Tamandua tetradactyla: one gene and its partner. The protein of the gene in region 2 interacts with the protein of the main gene of each other region in a pairwise test. Links are inferred from orthologs where the notes say so. Each region holds a gene or a part of one and is shown on either strand. Other genes may lie near its edges.

Region 1 (7,531 bases), on a different chromosome or scaffold from region 2:
CTCATCTTACCCACAATTTTTTTTATCTGTTTTGGCCCCGCAGGGACCCAAAGGAAGAAACTCTTGCCGAAGTAAGTCCCTCTGCTGTCACCTGTGGATTTCCACCCTGAAGCTGGTCACCTCCTCTCAGGACCCTAGGCAGGTGTCAGCACTTCATAGCTTGAGGTGCCCTCCACTGGTCACCTGTGCCCAGGTGTTGGTTCTGGGCCACAGCCAGATTCCCTCGACCTCTCCGTCAGCAAACTGGCGTCCTCGCTGTGGTCTCCTTCCTCTTCACCCTTCAGTGCCCCTCCATGCCCCCTCAGAAGCTTCACTGCACTCCCTCTGCTTCCCCCTGAAGCTAGCACCCGGCCTCACCTTCAGCAAGAGTTTGCGGGAGGCGGTGATCTTGGATTTTCTCTGAGGACAAGAAAGGGGAGAGGCAGATGGTGAGGCTGAGCCTGCAGAATTGGAATTCCGGTCTAGGTTGGGATAAGCACCAACTTGGGTTCACCATCACTACCCAGAGTCCTCTGCTTCCCATAGTGTCCCTTAAAAGCTCATCTTCCTGATTGAACCCACCAACTTCAGAAAGAATACTGTAGTCAGCTATCTCAACCTAGGGACCAAAGCTCTCACTGCCCATTCTGGTTCTGCTGCTGGTGCAATCCTGTAGGATACTGTGCAGGTCACACAACTTTCATGGTCACCCCTTCCTCACCTGTAAATAGGGATACTGGGACCCGCTTTACTTAGTTCACCAAGTTATGACAAACAAGATGAGATTAAGGATGTGCAAGTCTTTGAAAGGCACAAAAGAGATGCACGTTGATAGTATTCTGAATGCTCATATAGGAATATCCTGATGATCTGTTGTGCTAGAGAAATAAGCTGTTTCCCACACAAACAAAACACATCTCTTTAGACATCAAAACTATCTTCAATGTTAACATCATCCATATAAATTTTTCAAAGTTGTAAAGACACTATATTCTCTTCTTATCAATTTTACTAAATATGTTCTTGCCAACCAGTTCTGTTCTGCTAAATCTCATTCTCACAGCAGGGGCAGTGGAGGTGAGTGAGCTGCTCAACCCCTAACCGGTGAGACCACTGTGCCTTCCGAGGATCTGTCCTTTCTCAACCATAGGTCATCAATTTTCATAGTTACCAGTGAGCATCCTATCTACTTCTAATGTGTGGGGAAGCATAGCTCTAGTTTGTTATTCTAATCTGTAAAGTACCAATGATCAGACTTTGAGTGAGCAGCTCTCATGAGAGAAAATGAATGAACTTTAGTGCATGGAAAGTGTGACTTCTAAGCTGATGGTTGAGGGTAGTTTGTTTATCTTTTTTCCTCCCTTAGAGCCTAGGCTTTTGCTATGTTTCAGATAAGTGTGCTATGTTTCGGATAAGAGAAATGGACTACTACCATAATTGCTTTCTCCTATGCTTTACACATTGTAATGTACCCATGGCAAATATTCCATTGGTGTTTGTTTTCCCAACCACTTGGTGAACTTATGGGCCACCTCACTGAACCACCAATCGATGTGTATGAACCTCACTTAAGTATGAACCTCAGCAAAATGGAGTTAGAGATTCATATGACTATCAAAACTCAGCACATTCAAGACAACCAAAGCAATAGGCTGAGCCCCCAATCTTGGGATTTGTTCATATGTAACTTAACCCCACAAAGGATAGGTCAAGTCTACTTAAGATAAGGCCTAAGAGTCACCCCCAAGGGAATCTCGTTTGTTGCTCAGATGTGGCCTCTCTACCCAGCCAACACAACCAGCAAACTCACTGCCCTCCCCGTGTCTATGTGGGACGTGACTCCCAGGGCTGTGGACCTTCCTGGCAACGTGGGACAGAAATCCTAGAATGAGCTGAGACTCAGCATCAAGGGATTGAGAAAACCTTCTCAACCAAAAGGGGGAAGAGTGAAATGAGACAAAATAAAGTGTCAATGGCTGAGAGATTCTAAACAGAGTAGAGAGGTTATCTGGAGGTTATTCTTATGCATTAAATAGATATAGCCTTGTTAGTTGAGATGTAATGGAGAGGCTGGAGGGAATTGCCTGAAAATGTGGAGCTGTGTTCCAGTAGCCATGTTTCTTGAAGATGATTATATAATGATATAGCTTTCACAATGTGTCTGTGATTGTGAAAAACTTGTGTCTGATGCTCCTTTTATCTACCTTATCAACAGATGAGTAAAACATATGGAATAAAAATAAGTAATGGGGGAACAAATGTTAAAATAAATTTAGATTGAAATGCTAGTGATCAACGAAAGGGAGAGGTAAGGGGTATGGTATGTATGAATTTTTTTCTGTTGTCTTTTATGTCTTTTTCTGAATTGATGCAAAAGTTCTAAGAAATGATCATGATGATGAATATGCAACTATGTGATGATATTGTGAATTACTGATTATATATGTAGAACAGACTGATCATAAGTTAAGAATGTTTGCATTTGTTTGTTGTTTTTTTAACTTAAAAATTAAATTCTTAGATTTTTTTAAAATGAAAAAAATTAGCATATTCATCATGGTGATGAATATACAACTATGTGATGATATTGTGAGTTATTATTATATACCAAGAATGGAATGATCATCTGGTAAGGATGTTCATGTTTGTATGTTGTTATGTTTAGGAAAAAATTAAAAATTAAAAAAAAATGAGCACATTCAATTCTTACAGAGAATCTCTGTGAAATATCCCTCCATCAGTGCTCCTAATTCCTCCACACATCATCCCTGAGTCCTCAGGTCTCTCCCTGCAGCCCCCATCCCCAGGCCGCGCACAGGCTATGTTCTCAGTAGCCTGAATAAATATGGATTGTACAGAATGACCAGAGTCAGGGGTATCTAAGACCTGAGGGGGGTCTGAGGACACCTGTTTGCTCCTTCCTCAAAGTTTAGTCATTGGACAGGAGTGGAATAATATCCCAATAACCATCCCCTCCTCTGCCTCAAATATGGCTTTGCTCACGGCCAGCTCTGCAGGGAACATGATGCCCACCCACCCCACCCCACCCCCAGGGCTGGACGAGCTCCCAGACATAGGGAGCATGAATTTGCTCAGTGCTTGGCAAAGGTGTAGAGTGAGGAGACGGGGCAGAGCCACACCCAGCTCAGCTGTGGGCCCAGCCCCAGGATCCCCTTCTCAGCGGCATGGTGCACTGGAGTGCCAACTGCCAGCCTTGCCTCCAGAATCTTCCACCGAGGTTTCTATTCTGGAAATTGGCTCAGCTGCTGGGCCTTCCCCCACCCCAGTCTTGACCCAAACTCACTCCTCTCCTCAGATGCCCACCCCACCTTCATCAGTCTGAAGAATTAACCAAGAAAAAAAAAAGACACCCCAAATATCACTTACTTCTCTTTAGGCATCCATCGCAGGAAGGTCAGGGAGAAAGAGCAGAACACAAAATGAGTATGAACAATGCGTGTTATACATGCAGCAGCAGACACACGCCCTCCAGCTTGGGGGGAGAGGGAGGACAACGCAGCAGAGAGAAGGCAGGGAGGCAGCCGTGGGGGAAGGGCAGGGGTCTAATTCAAGGGTTCCATAGGATGGAATAAAGACACAACTGCCCTTTGGGCTGCCAGAAGTTCTTACTGGGAGATAATGGTCATTGTAAGTGCAGGGAGGGATGGCGAGAGATGAGGGATGGTGGGAGATGAGGGAAGTCAGAGTTTTTCCAGCCTCAATGTAGAAGTCCAGGGATGAGAAAGGATCCATCCTGGGCTTTTTGGGTAAATTGCCAACACTCTGTTCATCTACTAGGCCAATGCTAAGTCAGGGCCTGGCAGCCAGCATTTCATTTGATCAGCGCAAACACACAAACTCTGAAACACAGGCCAAAATGGTCTTCCCTGGGCAAACCAGCAGTTTGCTCAGCTGCTGGGCATGAGTTCCGCTCGAAGACTGGGAGGGCGTGTGGCAACATTCTGGGGAAACCATCAGAGGCTGGGTAGAGCAGAATGGTCCCTCAGTGAGGGGCTGAGCTCAGCCAAGGCACAGGCCTTCCCGAAGCATAAGGGGGGCGGATTACTCACACTTCCGGCATGGTGGCAGGGGGGCAGCACCTAGAGGACACAGAGGGGTCGTTAGTGTGAAAACCTCATAGCTTCTGCTCCCCCCTCCCCATCTACCCAGGTATGCCTTGGGAGAGAGTCATACACCAGGGAAGAAGAAATCAGACAGCAGATTCCAGTGGCTCAGGATGGGGTAAATATTTGTCTGTTCATTCTTTCATTTATTCATTCACTCATTCATCCATGAGAGAGAGAAATCTAATAAAGGAGAAGAAGCAATATAAGAACCAAAACTGCAGGCAGGCCATGGTGGCTCAGCAGGCAAGAATGCTTGCCTGCCATGCCAGAGGACCCGGGTTCGATTCCCAGTGCCTGCCCATGTAAAAAATAATAATAATAAAAAATAAATAAAAAGAAAGAAACAAAAGTGGGACGGGATCAGCAAATTACAGCCTATTGGCCAAATCTGGCTGTATGATAAAACCTATTTACTCTCTGGCCCTTTGCGGAAAAAGTTTACCAACTGCTGTGGGTAACAGGATAGAGTCCATGGAAAATATGGCTGAAAAGGGAAGCTGAGGCTCACCCACGAGAGTCTTGAATGACGAGCTGAATTTAGATTTTATCCTGGGATAATAAGTGGCTGTTGACGTTCACACAGAGGGAACAGACAGAAGATGAATTGTGTGGAACATGGGATAGAGGAGCTACCTTATGACAACTCCAGGGGGGGCTATTCACATTTCAGACCATGCAGTTGTGCCCAGGGGTGTGTATTCACATAAATCACGGCGTGACTGGTCTTCCCCTGGGTAGGGCGATGGGACAACCTGAATGACAGTTAGGCCAGGAGGCCTGCTGGAGTCTTTATCCTTAACTTCTCTGGGCCAGCTTTCTCCTCTGCAAATTAGGGGTTAGATGAGTGGTTCTTCTCTTACTATTTAGCTCTTCAACTCTTTGTTCAAACCAAATTTTACTTGGAAGCAAAACAAATGCCATCAGTAAGAGTAGGACAGCCTGGTTGAAGGCGGATACTCTGTGGCCTGCCGTAAGTCCCCCGGCCATGGGGCACAGTTTGAAGCCCCTGAGCTGGTGACCCCTGGAAGATCCATCATCCCTGGTGATCCAAGGAAGATGGTCCTTGATGCTGCAGAGTGGGACGATATTCCCAAACCAGACCTGATTCACCATCTTGTCTGGGCCCGGAGAAAGAACATTCCAACGGCAAGGGTGATGTGCAAAAGCTCAGGGAGGGAAGGGGACATCTGGCATGGGGAACAGGTATGTAGAGTAGGACAGGAATCTCAAGCCACATTGTGAAGTGAGGAACAGGGGAGATCAGTGGGCGAGCAGCGTGGGGCTCAGGGCCAGGAGTGTGGACTTGCTCAGGAGCCCAGTTTGGAGCAGGGGGGGTGGGGGGGGAGCAAAACGTCAAGGCTTCTTGCAAAGTCACTACCAATGCTTTCTTTCCAGAGCTGCCCCCTTCCTCTGCTTTAATTTTCTCCCTTCCCTTTATGCCCATGAAGCCGTCTTCCTCACCCCAATGAGCAGGGCTGTGCCCCCTTCTCCTGAACCTCCCACCCAGCCTGAAGACCTTCTGGGCCTCCACCCTCGCCTCTGCCCCCAGGGGAGGAGGGGGAGGGAGTGAGACCCCAGAGCCTCAGCTGTCACCATGGGCACAGAGGGAGAGGTGTGGAAACAACCCATACATTCCCGAGATGCTTGGCTGAAATTAGATTTTATAGCCAGCTGCTTATTCTGAGAGCTCCACTCCTCTATAGACACTGAAGAAATCCAAAAAAGAAAATGCCAGCTGATGAAAATCCACCCCTAGATTCCCCATCCATCATCATCACCCTCCCACCACCCCAACCTCCAGAGGGCAGCGGGTCTGGGCCGAGCAGACCTTTGGTCTGTCTCCCTGGCCTCGCCTTGGTGGGCACTTGGCCATGTTCCTGCCTCCCCCAGAGAGCCCACAGTCAGCACTGCAAAGCCCCTGCCTGCTGTGGCCCGCCAGGCAGGCCTCCTGCTGCCCAGCCTGTCCCTCTGACAAATGCCAGGCCAAGGGGTCCCACGTCAGACAAGGAGCCCCAGCCTGGGCTCTGGCACCCGCCAGACAGGACCCCTTGACAGGTTCGGTGGAAGACAAGCGGAGGCCTGATAAGAAGGCAGGATGTAGATAGCAGCAAACACGGGGCTTGGAGGGCCAGGATTCTGTCTCCTCCACAAGCATCAAGTAAGGAGATAAGCAGAAAATCCACAACTGCAGGGAGGGAGCGAAGAATCTCCAGTGGTTGACTCAGAGCCAGATTCTCTGCTCCATGAGGCCCCATAGGGTAGAGAAGGAATACAAACTACACTGTGGGATTGAGGCTGTGTGTGAGAGTGTGTCTGAGCATATAAGTGTGCATGTAAAGTGTAAACGTGATTGTGTGTGTGTGCCTGCGCATGAGAGAGAGAGAGAGAGAGAGAGAGAGAGTAAGGAAAGGAACGGATCTCGTTGCAGAAAACATGAATTTCCTAGTTAGGCTCATGCGCTTCCCCTGCCCACCCTGACCTTGGACCCGAGTTCAAGGGCATCCCTGTCCTCCTAAGGGCAACCTGAGTGTTAGCCACAGCTGTACTCCTAAGCCTGTGGCCGTGGACTGCCTTCCACCCGCCGCACCCCCATGTAAGCTGGGAAAGCCTAGCCCCAGACCTGCTGTGGGGCTGTGACTTTGAACCTGGAGGCAGGTGTGACCCTCAGTCCCCAACCCTTTAAAGCCAGATCCCTGGTCCTCCAAGCCCCACATCTGCTGCTATGTACACCCCATCTTATCAGAGGCCCCACACCCGCCCCCACCCCAGCCTGGTCCCCACTGTAGAGCTGCCCTCGTTCACGCGTTCAGTCTCTCGTGCCCCAACTCCAGCAGCTGGTCCCATCTGCCTTCCCCCAGCGGGTGCCCCCTGTAACTCCTGCCACCTCAGAGTCGGCAGTGGCAAAGACGGGTTGGCCCTTTGCCACACGGGTTGGCAGTCTGCCCTTAGCTGCTTTTTTTCCTACCAAACAGATGGATGGGCGAGGGAAGTTGAAAGCACCCCTCAGAGACAGAGAACAAAGGGGCAACGTGGGCTCGGTCAGCAGGGCCTCTGGTCCTATCTCCTGAGCTCCCGCAGAGCCTCTCCCACCTTCAGCACTCACCTTCCTTCCACTGCGGCCATCACTCACTCTGATGGCTCCCTGGGCTCACCCTAAACTTCCAAGTGCAGCCCCTCAGCCCCTGTCTCTGACCCCCAATGCCACCCCTTCCCCTGGGTGTCCTTTCTCCACTGTACCTACGAGCAGCCTGATGTAAAAACCATCTGCTCTGGGGCTCCTTTTGGAACCTTGTGGTAAATTCGGCTCCTGGCTCCCAGCCTTATTTCTGTTGTCCAGGTTTGCCATCCATCCCAGCTTCTCTACCCACCTTGGGTGGGAGGAGGTTGCACCTCCAACAAGAGTTTTGCAGAAGGAAAGAGGCAGG
Region 2 (7,824 bases):
ATAAAATATCATTTTACACATGAATGTATACTGAGTCAGTTACTACTTCAGTGAAACAAAATTTTTGCTGAGAAGGGATTTAAAAAGGAAATAAAAACATTGCCAGATACCCTCCCTAAACCCCATCTCAAAATTAACCTAAAAATTTTTATTTTACTTATATCTATTTAACTTCCTAATATTTGCCTTAAAAACATGTAAAAATTGAATATATTAAAAGAAATTACAATTTTAACTCATAATGATAAAGCTTAAAAATAAATCAAGGTTTGATTTTGTTAAAAAGGAAAAAAATTGTAAGAAAAGGAGAGAGAGCTGAAATTACACTGAAGAATTTTATACATGACAAAATCAGACAATAAGTTTTAAATCTTTTTATTAGCATACATCTATTAAACAATTTCAAATTTTAGAACACTTAGAATCAGCAAGAATAAGGAGACCTACTATTTGATGACAAAGATGGAGAATGGGGGAATGGATTATTCTGCAGGTTATCAACTTCTCAGGCGATTTATATCTGTATCTTGTATCAAAATTCTTGATTTACACACCTCTACAGTTGCAGTATTTTTCAAACACCCCATTTTGTAGTCTCAGAATACTTTTCAATTAAACTGAGAGACATTTAAAGATGAGAAATATGAAATTGCACTTTATAGTTAAATAACAAATATCTAATAAATTCACATTTCTTTTCCATTAATATAAACTAGGAACAATATACAGTAAGCACAAACTATGCACGATATTAGTAACAATAAAAGTTCACATTTTTACTGAACACTTCCTTTCAGCTAAGCCTTGTGCTGTCTGAACATGCAATTTCTCATTTAACAACCTTGATGGGAAGCGCACAGGTTCACTTGTTTTTCACAACTGACAATGATGCCACGATGACAGCTCACACTGAGCACGTATTCAAGCCTTTACCTGGCATTTCAGCCAGCATGATGCACTTGCACTGTTGCAGCAGCTCACAGTGCTCGCTTGCAATTTTACAAATGTTACACTAATATGCAGGCCGGACTCCCCCTCCCCCCACCCCAAAAAGAACACAACAGAACACTTCTATGGATTTACTAATCAGAGAACACACCTATAACACAAACAATGGAGCAGACGTGATCTAGGTCTGCCCTAAAGCCCCCTTTTTCCAGGGACTTAGAAGTGCCCCTCCAGGCCTAACTGCAGGAGGGCTGCCTCAGCCTCCTCCTCCTCCTCCTTGGCCTCCTCCTCGCGGATCTGCACCAGCAACTGGAAGAGGTTAGGGGCCGGCCCTTCCGCAGCCCCAGTCAGCCATAGCTGCCTTCGGATAGCCCCGCTGTGGTTGGCCCCCGCAATGACTTGCTCCAGGCGGGCCTGGTTCACGTTATCTTTATCGATGGCCCCCTTGTCCACCACCTTCTGCAGCAGAGGCTCCAGACGAATGACATAAGCAGATAACTTTTCTCCAGGGTTCTGATAAGTGTTCAGAAATCTGACCTGCGCATCTCTAGAGCTCTCCACACTCCCAAACACCTGCTCAAGAGCCTTCAGACATTCGGCAGTGGTTATGGCGGGGTTGTTGGTCTTGAGGATGCGAATGACATCAGAGGCGGGGCCTCTAAGACTCTCAATCAACCGCCGCCTCTTTTCTACATCAGACACCTGCCACTCCTCCATGACCTCATTAGTGTGCTCTAACCAGGGATCAAAAGTCTCCTCCCCAGGCCCCGGAATATCTCTCCCCGAAAACAGGGTCAGCTTCTTGTACCAGATAGACTCAACAAGAGGCTGAATAACATTATCCAAAATATAATTTAGCATCTCTGCTGGCATTTCTGGGCCTGGGGCCGGAGCGGGGTTCTGAAATCCAAGGACCCGAGCAACATCTTGCACGGTCCACCCCTCTCTCGCTAGGAAAAGATGCAGCCTTTCCAAAAACTCAGCATCAGAAGTTGGGGGCTTAAAGACCACTTTCCAGACCCCGCCTTTACCCGGCATCTCCCGGGGGATAGCGGCGTAATCTACAGCACCAGTGAGCTCTAACAAGGCTGCTTTCGCATTCTCTTCCCTCCAGAACATTCTCCCAAGCACTCGATAGGGTACCTGGGGCATTGCTGCCTGGAGGGTCTCTTCGATTTCAGCCTCATCACAATTCACTGGGATTCCCCAGACCAGCAAGGCTCTCTGGGAGTTCACATCCATCCCCCTGCACCAGTCTTCCAACAATGTCATCGCCATTTTCCCAACTATCAAGTGGCGGCACCCTTACAAGTACGAATTCGATTGTGGCTTTGGCCTAGGGCTTAGCACAATACCAGACTCTCCCCCGAACAAACACGAGGGGGGCAAGCTTCCCGCAATTACAACTAACAAATGATACCAAAGTCCTGCCCTCGCCCTTCCCCTACCCCAAAGTACTACTCTCGTAAGTCCGTCCGGGCGTTCTCGGAGCGAGGCCTCGCGGACGCTCAGTCTAGTAAGTCACGCGGCCGGCGCCATCTTGCGTCTCCGGTCGGCTCCACGGCCGAGGTCCGTCGCCTGCAGACAGGGCGTTGACTCGCGACGAGGAAGGCGAGAAGAGAGGGCGGGTCGAGAAGGCTGGAGCCTCCGGGCCGAAGAGGCCGCCGGGGTGTGGTTGCGGGGCGTGGCCGCCTCTGCTCTCAGCCGCTCCGGGCGTCGATCAGGCGTTGGCGGACGGAGCTAGGCCTTCAGGGCGGCGGCCTGGAGAACTCTGCCGTCCACCGAGGGAGCTGTTCCAACGTTGCAGAGGCGACGGCGGCCAGACCAGGCGAGCCGGGAATGGTTTCTCCGCGGGCGCAGGGACCTTTCTAGGCAGCGACGATGACCGGGGACCGAGGCGGCAGACGGGCTAGAAGGACGGAGAGGCGAGGCTATGGCGGCTGAGACGACCGAGGGTAGGGGCAGCCGAGCGCGCCGGTCGCAGCGGGCTCTGGTGCAGCGTGGCGACCAGAGCGTCCTCCTCACAGCGAGCTCAGGAGCTTCTGCCGCAGTGGAGGGCGCCGCCCAAATCGCGAGGCGTCGAGCGCGCCCCGCCCCCACGACGGAGCAAGCGCGCGTGTAACCATGGCAACGGTGTCCCAGGCGACGGGAAATGCGCGCGCTCCCGTGGCGGGCTGAGTCGATTCGTTGCCATGGTGCCAGCGACAGGCTGTGGGCAATGGTTTTTTTGATGGCGCATTTCCTTTTTCACGTTTTCCGGTTTGTTTGTTTTTTTTACAGTGAACAAATATGCTAAGCACCGTGTTTAAAAATAAGGATCTAGAGTAGACTTAAAATATTGTTGAAAATGCACCCATCATTCAGGCCTGTGTATTGAGGTCGCTCATTCAGTTAGTCTATGCTGCATAATAAAATGTTCTCAACACCCCGGCCACCTGACCATACCCTGCATCCTGCATTTAATTCCAATGAAACCAGGAGGCATGTCATTTATGTTTTTGTGTGCGACACTGAGTTTAAATATTTTCTTACCTAAAACTTGGTAGTAGATACATTATTTCTACTCAGTCACCTTTGTAGCAAGGACACCATCAGTGTGAATTTTTTCTTGTCCTAGCGTCGACAATGAGCTGGTAAAACAGAATCCGTGTACAAAAATGTCCAGTGTCATCCCTTGTATGCAAAACAAGGCCTAATTATGTCAACCCCAGTTGGTGAAAAAAACAAAGCAAAAGAACACAGCATTCAACTCTGAATTTTTAAAACCTTATTTAATAAAAGGTTTAAAGATACAGAAGAACATTCAAAAGTAAATAAGTTACATAGGTACGTTACAATCACATCAGCAAGATTTTCTTTAGTGTATTAATTTTTTTTTTTATAAAAAGCACACAAAAAATAAAATTTTCAGTCTGGTCTATCACAACTGTACAGCAAAAGAGGTAATATTTATAATATATGTACACTAGTTTAATATGTAACAGTCTTTTTAAAAAAGGGTGCCACAGGCAGCAAACACACAAAAGGCAGTGTCTGATCTTTTTTTTTTCAAAATAAAAGGAATATAGTATTTATATGCTATTAAAATATTTGTACAATAATTACAGACTGTCAAGGCTGTTCCTGTGCTCTGTCCCCTCCAACAAGGCCTTCAACTTGAGAGACAATGAAGAAAAAGTGATAACAGCTGCAAATTGTTAGAGGCAAATAGTAACACAGCCAAATGTGGGGAGGATGCAGAATTGTTTTATAAAAATATGCATACTTCCTGTAAACCTAAGGAGTTAGGCTTGCCAGTCTGGTAATAAACGATCCAAGGAAAGTAGGCCCCAGTGAAAACACATTTAAACAGCTGAGGCTGGAGTATATGTGTATTCCTCCTTCATCTTAACATCTGGCACATAAGAAAGAGGTTACATCATTGAGGCAGTTAAACATAGGCCATCCCTTAAGACACAAGCAGCATGTGACCTCTGTGCTAGGGTGGACCTCACTTAGCACAGCGGGAGGTGGGGCGGCAGAAAGGGCTTGAGGGGGCTGCTGAAGGCATGGAGGACAGTGCTGACAGCACTGCTTCCTCGGGTAGGTAAGAGACCTCAGAAATGGTCTGGAATACAGGCACTAGGTCAGTGTCATGCCCTTAGCTGAGTGCAGGTGGAGGCTGGAAGATGGATATGGTGGGACAGTGTAGGAGGGCATTATGAAACTGGAGGTTTTGTCACAACTTCCTACAGCAAAGAGCTCTGAAGAGGAAAAAATGGAGGGGGTGGGTAATGAATTGACTGTGTTCACAGGGAGAAAGCACCATGAGAGATATACATACCAGCTTCTATGGCTGCATCAACTGTATTGGCGGGGCACTTGCCACAATTGCATCTGCCCTCTGAGCATTTTAATTTTCACACTGCATTCTAGATATAAATCCATCCTTAAGCATGGATCCTCCTAAAATATGGTATCTGGTAGATAGGCTGCTGGACAATTAATACTTTCCCCATCTACATTCGCCTGGTCTGGTCTTCGTGAGCTGAGAAGAAATCATTTTCTTGTTAAAAAAAGATGTCAAAGGACTGGATGCTACCACTGGTCAGCAGGGTCTCATGAAACTGAAGGTTGTTTCCTTTATACGCCCATGAAGAGGCCTGAAACTAAATACAGTTTAAACAAAAAAACAAACATGGGACACAGAAGTAGCACTTTGGAGCTAAGCTGAGAAGGCACTCATATTCCACAAGTGATTTAAAAGTTAGTCTAAATTTGCTACCCTCCTGCTTCTAGAAGGGTAACAGATTTTTGCAATCTTGGGCCATGTAGCTTATAGAAGTCTATGGAAGAAACTGACTAGGAAGCTGGAAATATATGGGGTCATCCAGGAGTCGGGGAGGGAGAAGAATTTTGTTACTCTTATAGCTGGGGTCCGGTAGAAGCACATGAATGAATAAATGAATATTGAAAAATACCTGATAGTGCATAGTTTAGAAACAAAACTCCCTCCCCACTCTCAGTTACTAACATGATGCTTTTAGGCGGCTATTTCAAAAGGAGTAGCAGAATGCATACTGTGGGGTTTCTTTCTAAAATGTATGACCTGTCATTTACTTGTATTCACTTAGAACTCCTACACAGTTCAAGCTGAATAACAAGAACAGAAAAATAACTCAGCTCTCCTATGGGACTGGCAACTGAAGAGGCCTCTAAAACCTTCCAGCCCTTTTGCCTCAGTGACTCCATGCCAAATATGGCTTCTTCAAGCCAGAATCTAGGCGTGATAAACAAAATTAGAATTCTGGCCTCCTGTCAATCCCCTCAGGCGATCTGAAAGTACAGCCAGGGAAGTAGCAGCAAATAAAAACTGCCTTTGATCTCCCAAATGCTCCTGCTAGCTCCCGACACCCTCCACCTTTTTTTTTACCATCTTTCAATGCTGCCATCATTCCTACCGGCAAGAGCTTCCAGAGCAACAAGGCGTGGACCTTAGGGTTTGGGACTGAGGGGGGAGGCAGGGGAGTGGTGCCAAGAAGGTGCCTTGTTTGGGGATAAATGCACTTGGGCCTCTGGAAAGCAGGCGGCCCCCTGGTCCCTGAGAGGATGTTAAAACTTAAATATCAAGAATAAATAAATAGCTCCTGAATGACACCAGTCAAGGAAATGAAGGCTCCTTTCCAATCTACTTAGGAGACCTCCCTCTCCCAGGGAAAGATCCAGAAATCTCCAGCGTGCAGGATTGGGAAGCTGAGCTGTGGGCATCAGCACTAGACAGTGCTGAGGGGAGTTGGGGGGTAACTGCTGAGGGCAGGACAAAGGCAGGTAGGGTACTTGCCGCACAGAGGCACCGGCTGGGTGGCTGGGGATGGCTCCAGGCCTCTGCAGGCCTTGCTCGAGGCTAAACTCCCATGGCAACCTCCAGGGCCAAGAAAGTATTTGGCAAAGAGGTGGGAAGCAGGAAGAGCCAGGTTTGTCAAAAGCTCTGCTTCCTTCCTTTCAGCAGGCTAAGCGTTCAGACAGGGACCCGGCCCCCTTCCCCAAACATTTGAGAAAACTTTCCAACCCCAACAGGGCTGCTAGCAAGCAACAATGGGATAGGTACCTGTCCTCCGACTCTCCCACGATGCATTCTGGAGGCCTCCCAGGAGAAGGTGGCCTTTCTGAGGACATAGTCACGGAGCAGCTTAAGGCCTGGACCACCACATTCCCGCCAACAGTGCCTTTTTTTCGGGATGGGGGCCAGGCCTCTGAGGTCCTCTGGAGAGGGGGAATAATGCTGCCATGGGGGTAAGCTTGGGGGTGAGTTTGTGCTTGGCTTGCCAAGGCGGCTTCCTGGAGACTGAGGGGAGGGAGGATGGGACAGCAAGGAAGAAGGGAAGAGACCGAGCGGCAGCAGAGGTCAGAGTGTGAGAGGTGGCAGCAGCGGCCGGCCGCAGAGGCTGGAGCCCCTTCGGAGGAGGCAGCCCAAGTGGGGACTCTCACGGTTCCACGAAAGCATGAGGACAACTTCCAACAGACTAAATGCAAAGAGAACTGGATGCTGCTGCCCATTAACACTGCTCCTTGGGGCCTTTATAAATAAAAGAGCCATTTATTTGACTGTCTGGTTTGTTTTTTTTTTTTCAGAGGAAAGTCTATGGTATTCTCTTCTCACTCCCTCCGGAGGTTCCAGGGTGTTTCCAGGCGCTTCCGTAGGCGGGTGCGGGGAGGGGCCGGGGGTGGGGGGCCCGGGCCGAGGCTCGCCCGGCCGCGCCCTCCCTGCCGTCAGCCCTTCTCGCCAGCGCCGCCGTCGTCCCGCAGGGCCTGCGGGTGTGGGGAGGCGGCGGCGGCTGCAGCTGCTGCTGCGGCGGCGGCGGCGGCCTCCTTCTCCCGCTGTCTCAGAGCTGCAGCCTTCTTCTCCTGCTCTGCGTGGCTCTTCATGTGGGCGCTGCGGCTCTTCACCTTGTAGAATACCCTGCAGCCGGGCACAGGCGGGAGTTCACATAAGTGGTCTGGTCCTCCCAGTCCCCGGGGACCACTGGGGAGGCGGGGGAGTGAGTGAGAGTGTGCGTGTGCGTGAGGGGGGCTCCAGCGGGGGCCTTAGAGAGTGTGAGTGTGAGTGTGTGTGTATGTGTGTGAGGAGGGCTCCAACGGAGGCCTTCCCGACGTGCCCCAGGCCACACAGCCCAGCTTCCCCCTCTCCCAGAACCGAGGGGGAAGGCTCCTGACTCAGCGCCATGCCTCTCTTCTAAAAGCTGCCAAACGATGTCACTGCCCCAGAAACCCAATAAGCCAATCAGAAGACAAGGTAGACCTCTTCCCCCGCCCAATCAGACTTTCTGACCCGCCCCCCTACTGGAGAACCCATGGAGGCAGAGCCTGCCATCTTACCTGCCACATTTTTTACAAGGG

What was found.
Region 1: the proteins of PNMA1 (region 2) and TNNI1 interact in binary tests that used the Homo sapiens proteins (3 or more experiments, as listed by UniProt). The two-hybrid records come from large-scale screens. The link is inferred for Tamandua tetradactyla from reciprocal best matches to the Homo sapiens genes PNMA1 and TNNI1.

What each region holds. Positions count from the first base shown.
Region 1 is NC_135330.1:58,480,436-58,487,966, forward strand, and holds the start of TNNI1 (troponin I, slow skeletal muscle), read right to left. Parts: upstream 3,004-7,531; coding exon 2,983-3,003; intron 400-2,982; coding exon 358-399; intron 1-357. UniProt on the Homo sapiens protein: Troponin I is the inhibitory subunit of troponin, the thin filament regulatory complex which confers calcium-sensitivity to striated muscle actomyosin ATPase activity.
Region 2 is NC_135338.1:32,581,933-32,589,756, forward strand, and holds PNMA1 (paraneoplastic antigen Ma1), read right to left. Parts: upstream 3,017-7,824; 5' UTR 2,227-3,016; coding exon 1,165-2,226; 3' UTR 360-1,164; downstream 1-359. Other genes in the region: MIDEAS (mitotic deacetylase-associated SANT domain protein), read right to left, coding at 7,198-7,387, 7,804-7,824.